2 linked regions of the Caenorhabditis elegans genome follow. The protein of the gene in region 1 interacts with the protein of each later gene in a pairwise test. Each region holds a gene or a part of one and is shown on either strand. Other genes may lie near its edges. The genes, in order: C02B10.6 and mtl-1.

What was found.
Region 2: the proteins of C02B10.6 (region 1) and mtl-1 interact in a two-hybrid assay, tested with the Caenorhabditis elegans proteins (one large-scale study listed by BioGRID).

What each region holds. Positions count from the first base shown.
Region 1 is NC_003282.8:5,068,872-5,072,802, forward strand, and holds C02B10.6 (Protein-tyrosine phosphatase), read left to right. Parts: upstream 1-2,021; 5' UTR 2,022-2,059; coding exon 2,060-2,466; intron 2,467-2,519; coding exon 2,520-3,076; intron 3,077-3,125; coding exon 3,126-3,358; 3' UTR 3,359-3,392; downstream 3,393-3,931. Other genes in the region: rmd-6 (Regulator of microtubule dynamics protein 1), read left to right, coding at 9-11, 54-122, 212-712, 780-884.
Region 2 is NC_003283.11:6,690,758-6,693,712, reverse strand, and holds mtl-1 (Metallothionein-1), read left to right. Parts: upstream 1-1,849; 5' UTR 1,850-1,880; coding exon 1,881-1,896; intron 1,897-2,016; coding exon 2,017-2,228; 3' UTR 2,229-2,342; downstream 2,343-2,955. Other genes in the region: W02F12.8 (Metallothionein), read left to right, coding at 1,242-1,360.

The sequences.
Region 1 (3,931 bases):
CAACCACCATGGTAAGTTTACTCCGATCTTCAAATGTTTAAGCTCTTTTTCAGAGTTTTGATGAAATTGACAAGACCTTCGGAACCAAGAACCGCGATCAAGGATATGATTTGCTCAAAGCGGTAAGTTTCAGACATGAAATATATACAATAGAGAATATAGTATCATTTTTGAAGAATGTGCTATTGAGACTTGAATTTTCTATTTTCAGCGTCTCGACAAAGGTGATCGTTCGGTGGAAGTCTTGTGGAGACTTGCTCAAGTAATTCATGAGAAGTCTGCATGTGTTCCAAAAGCTCAACGTAAGGCAAGTGTCACCGAAGGACTCAAGTTTGCTGAAGAAGCTGTCCAGAAGGATCCAAACCATTTCAAGGCGCTGAAGTGGAATGCTGTGTTGACTGGACAAGCAACCGAATATATGGCAACGAAAGAAAAGTTGGAATGCAGTAAGAAGTTCAAGGAATTGCTCGACAAAGCTCTTGCTAAGGAGCCAAAGGATACGGCTCTCCTCCATTTGCGTGGCCGTTACAAGTACTCGGTGGCATCTCTGACATGGCTTGAGAAGAAGCTTGCTGCCACGTTCTATCAGCAACCACCATCACATTCCTATGAAGAGGCCAACGAGGATTTCCTTGCTGCTTATAAGGTCAATCCAAAATGGATGGAGAACACATTTTATGTGTCCAAATGCTACGTAGCAATTAAAGACAAGGTACGGAAGATAGATACGTGTAACATTATCCCCATGCAAGCTTCTCAAAAATCTTTGATAATTCCAGAACAACGCTCGCAAGTACCTTACCGAAGTGTGTGACATCGAACCGTATTCCGACGCTGAACAAGAGTTTGCCGATGATGCGAAGCAGATGTTGTCTAAGCTTTAAGTTTATTCAGTTTCCACACGAGAAATCTAGCCAGAACATTTAAATAGCATCCACAAATGCGTTCTCGTATTGTAGAAATGTAAAGAATAAAAAGTTTGAAAAATGTATCTGTTTACTGGATTTACAATCAAAGAAACCGAATTATTCCGGAGAGCCCATGGATAACCTTTTCCACTTTTGAATTTATAATATTTAGTTTAATTTTTAATATTCTCTCCGTAGCAAATGTCCAAAATATTCGGGAATAGCCAACATCGTGGAAAATGTTGAACTTGCTGAACAGAAACCTATAATAGCTGAAAACTATTTTATTCCATATTCATCAATACATTGCTCTGACATTCTTGTACTTCAGAAATAAAAGACGAAGTAATAGAATGTACAATAGATATACGAAGCAATTTTTCGGGGTATCTAATGTCTGTCTGACCCAAATACTTAATATAGGTATATGAAACAACTCCTAATGTTTTATATGCCTGAAGTTCTGTTTTTCTGATTGAAATGGAAGCGTCTGGCACCTAGAAAAATGTTGTAATTAAATTATGAAAGCCCTTAAAATTTGGAACAAGTCCCCGACGAAACATTTTCAAAAAAGTTCATTATAAGTCAGATATTAATTTTTAAAGTTATGCAAAAAATAAATCTCTCTAGGCTTGTCTCCTATAATAAATTTGGAACTAGCATCTCCCGTTCCGCATGTTGCAAATTTAAAACCACCGTCCGAAAACTGGGCGCATACTTTTGTCTCTAACATTGCTGTACCTGCATTTTTTATTTCTTTTTTTTTTCAAAATATGTAAAAATATTTTGTCTCTCTTATTATCTAAATAGTTGTTTTGTTTGTTTTTGTCTTTTAGGAGAAATTTTAAGTAAAACACCGACATCTCAATGACCAATTTTAAAGACAAAAATAAAGAGAAATCGCTTAGATATAATTTTATGTTAATTATGTGTAATATTAATTATGTTTGAATTTTTCCTATTTTTTTTTTCAAATATAAAATAAGAGTTTCATTTCTCAAAAGTTCATAACCTCACGTGCCCCCCCCCCCCCCCCCTCATGCCACGTCATCGATCAGATAAGAAGCTTCGTATAAATAATGTGAAATTGTTCACAAATCATCAGTTCTCAATCAAGCAGCAATTGTTTAGCAAGCTAATCAACTGAAGCGATGAACGTTGCAAACAATAATTGCGGACAAATGCTGAGCGATTCTTCGGAATCATCGGAGCCACCAAGAGCCCAAGCTGGGGCAGTTTTCGGGAAGAAGGATAAGGGGAAGAAGGCCGATACGAAGAAGAAGAATACGGCGACGGAGGGCTCGAAGCGTGTGAAGAAGGAGAAAAAGAAGGATGACGGTGAAGCGGCCAAAGGTGATCCGACAAACAAAACCAACATGACACCTGCTCCACCACAGACCCATCCGATTGTCGAGCAGTGGGTGCTCAGAGCACTGGATGTTGGAGTTGACAAGCTTCGTGAGGAATTCCGTGGATTGGCAAAATACACGAGACCCGACATGACTCAGGTCATGTTCAATGCCAATCAGTCTCCGGACATTGCCATCACGAAGAATCGGTAAGTTGTTTTTTTTCACACTTTACAAGTCAATCATGAACACACTTTTTCAGTTACCAAGATGTCCCGTGCCAAGACCAAAGTGCGGTAAAGCTGGATCAACCATCTCCGTGCAACTACATCCATGCAAACTACGTCGGATGCCCCATGATCCCAGAAAAGCGTTTCATCTGCGCCCAGGGACCACTTGACCAAACGATCGATGAATTCTGGTGGATGGTCATTCAAAACAAGGTCGAGCAGATTGTCATGCTTTGCAAGACCGTCGAGATGGGAAAGCTCAAATGCGCTCAGTACTGGCCAGCTGCTCAAGGCGAAAAGCTTACTCTGAAGAGTGGTTGTGTCGTGGAGAACGTGTCGGGCTCGAAGCCAATGGAGAGGGACCCGGAGATTCAGATCACTATGCTCAACCTTACTTATAGTGGTGGTCAGACGATGTCCGTTCGTCATCTTCAATGGACTGAGTGGCCGGATCGTGGAGTCCCACCTTGTAAGCTAACAAGCTTGGAGCTGCTTTCCGCAATCCGCGGATCCAAGGTTCCAATCGTCGTGCACTGTTCTGCCGGGATTGGGCGTACCGGGACCATCGTCGCCATCGAATACATTCTTGGTGAGTTTTGAACAATGTTAGTTTTTAATAAAAATTTCTATAATTTCAGAGAAGATCGCCGAGAACAAGCCGTGCCCTCCGATGCCTGAGCTTGTGAAGGCACTCCGTGATCAAAGGGCCTTCTCAATCCAGAACGATGTCCAGTACCTCTTCATTCACCGTGTCATGCTCAACTACTTCCTCGAGAAGTACAAGGAAAAGTATGCGGCTTTGCTGACAGCGGAAAATGTGGCCAAGTACGACAAGTTTATCAAGGATTACAATGCAGCGGTTGGACAATAATTGAACTTAGATTTGAAATAAATGTTTTGTATTGATAAAATGTGTTAGTTTTTGAGATTATCCAAAGTATCAAGTAGCCATCAGATCTGGACAAGAAATAGATACGTTATTTGGTAATATTTTCTGCGGTTTTTGAGAGTCGAGAAAGTATTAAACCGGACATTTGGCATTAGGAATATTTAGATAAGGAGTGCCGCACAACCATTGCTTCTCCAACAACCTTAATTTTACTTTTTATGGGAAAAATTGAAAATTTTCCATAAACAGTCTAGTTGCGTTTTAAAGTCCAAAAAACATATTTTTCCTCCTTTTTCTTCCTAATTTTCAACTGAAAATGTGTTTTCTCTCGGTTTTCATTCAAATCAAATAAATAAGCACTTAAACTGATCACATGGACAATGCCTACAAACTCAAGGCGCCTGATTTTTGAATTTGTTGCTCTATGAAGTTTTTCTTTTTTTCTTCCGAAATCCACGCCGCCGTCCATGATCTCAATTACAACTACATGCTCTGTTAGGTCAAAATAGTCGCCGTGTGAATAGTTTTATTCTAAATTTCATTTACCGATAACAT
Region 2 (2,955 bases), on another chromosome or scaffold:
ACTGTCTGAGCGGTTTTTAACTGAATCCGACGATATCATAACGGGAAAATGAAATTTATGAAAATTTTCCAAACAAAACTATTTTGAAACTTTATTAAGCACTAATCAGTTATTGTAGAAAAATTCTAAACCTGTTGTTTTTGAAAACATTCATGTCAACTTTGTAATTTGGCATAATATTAAGAAACTCGGCAAGTAGGGCTCTATATACTCACATATCTTTTCGGGCAGAGGGAATGTGAAAAATTGATCAATCGCAAACTTGTAAGCTTAAGATAAGGAACACTTTTCCCGTGCAAACTATTTGAAAAAAAAATCTGAATGGATCCAGATTCGAACCAGCAATGACTCTACTGAAGAGCGCGCGCTTTACCACTTCTCCAAACAGGCGAGTGGCGGCCGCGGTTCCAAGGTATATGTGAAACCAACCGAGCTGTACGAAGTAGGAAGCTTCCATTACTTTTTCAGATATTTAGTTCTGAAAACTTTGTTAACTCTCCTTATCAACAACTAAATGGCCCTTTTTGTAGTTATTTCTACTGGAAAAAAATGTGCCTGTAAATAATATCCTGTTTATAAACGTTGTTGTCCAGTGAAAACATTCCCTTGACCTGAAATTTATCGATAAAAGATAAATTTATCTTGAAAACTACTTTTTCGAGTGTATTTTTAAACATTCTACAAATTCCACTTAATAGCAGGTCGGGAACTTCGGCGATTCCTCGAATAAGCTATTTTCAAAAAAAAAATTAGGCCCAAAATTTGTTTCTGAAAAACGACCCCAATCTTGTATTTTCCAGTAATAAATACAATCTGAATTTTTTTCGAAATTATTTTTCGCATCGAAATTGGAAAACGTAGTAAAAAATACGGCCGTAGTAAAAGAGTAAACCGTAGTAAAAGAGCAACGTAGTAAAAGATGAGGTAGTAAAAGAGCATTTGCCTAATTTCTTTTATTTTTCACATTATATGTCCAGTTAAAAAAAAAGAACTCTGAGAAATAAATTTTGAAAATCAGGTAAAAAAAGTTAGATGTTTCAGACGTCACCTTGTTGTTAATATGGTCTCTCATATGATTGGTGACATCAGAATTTTTAACTTGGAATTGAACATTTTAATTCTTGATTTATTATTTTCAAGATTTAATTTTAAGTTTTAAAAATAGATTTTTTTTTCAAAAAAAAAACAAGGTTGTAAAAATTGTTAAAACTGGAAACATCTTTTAGCTATTTTTATTTTAGCCTGCAAGAATTGCTCCTGTGGAGAAACGTGTAAGTGTACCGTCGAAAAATGTTGCTGCGAGGAAGAGAAAAAATCGTGCTGTGAAGGAAAAACCGAGAAGACTGAGCAAAAGAAATAACCAATGAGCAAGTGAACTTTTCCCACGTCTACTACTAAATTATTGTCGATCTATAATTCTTTCGCTTATCAATCTTGTCAATTGAAATAAAACAATATTTTTCTAATTCTTTTTGGAACGAACACACGTGTTTAAATGAATGTTGTGCTAAAAACGTCACATCAATGGTACGTGAATGTTGCAAACACCTTGTCAATAACTGATAAAATCAGAAACTAGAGCTGTGACTGAATCGTATACTAGAACGGAGTCTCTCTAAAAACGTTCTAAAAACAAACAAAAAATTGTGCAAAGGATTAGAGTGCTCAAGATCAATGAGCAAACTCACAATCAACTATCTGTTATTGTTTTGGGTCTCTTCTATATCTCTATTCTTTTAGTATCATAAGTTTGTACATTGTGACAGGGCCACCCTCTTTTATCACATATTTGAAGTGGTAAACAGCCAGCAAAAACCAAATAAAAAGGCAGTGAGAAAAAGAAGAAGGCAGCTCAATTTGACTGCTGAAATTAAGAAATCATGGCTTGCAAGTGTGGTGAGTTAATCTATACTTTATAGATTTCAAAAACAATTGTGACACGTTTAAAATGGTTTTGAGAATAGCAGGCAAATCAACAAGCTTTCTAAATTTTTCTTAAAGTCAAAACTTTTCCAGACTGCAAAAACAAGCAATGCAAGTGCGGAGACAAATGTGAATGCAGTGGAGACAAGTGTTGTGAGAAGTACTGCTGTGAGGAGGCCAGTGAGAAAAAATGCTGTCCAGCTGGATGTAAGGGAGACTGCAAGTGTGCAAACTGTCATTGTGCAGAGCAGAAGCAGTGCGGAGACAAGACCCATCAACACCAGGGAACTGCTGCGGCTCATTAAAATGTTTCAGAGTTGAATCTGAAAATACCACAATTCCTACTAAACTGTGAACATCCTACTAAATTGTAATTACCTCCGAGATTTATGTAAACTAATAAATGTGTATATTACTTGTATCTGCCAAATCAAAAAATTATAATTTAATTGAATCAGGATAAATGCATGTGATGAAAGTTTATGCTTTCAGACAACTTTCTTATAAATAAATACATTTCGTTAAAGATTACGAGCAACTTCTTTAAAGGCAAAATTTTCAAAGTTAAAAAAACTGCCTCAGGTTGTGCCTACGTTTAACCGAAGTTTTATCCAACTCTTGCCAAACTCTTACTCAAGATTAAACTGACATAATAAAGGTTTTGGTCAGATTTGTGATGAGATTTGGCGAAATCCTTAAAGTATTACTAAACTTTTGCCAAATTTAAATACAAGATGATTATTGGGCAAGATCTGACAGTCCTATAAGTATTAGGTATAACTTTCAGTGAATCAAGTTCTAATTATGCAAGATTATTCATTGTATTATTATATTATAAATTCATATATTAGAATTATCAACAATAGACAGTTTTTTTATAAGATAAAAAGAACCTAGCGAAAAATTCGAAAAAGAGCACGATAAGTTTCGAAAAAAACACAGCACAAATCTTTTTTTTTGATAAATGGTTGAAAAGTCTGAGTTCCGTTTTTTCAAAGAAAATTAAAATGTTTAAAAAAATGTTCGTTTTTA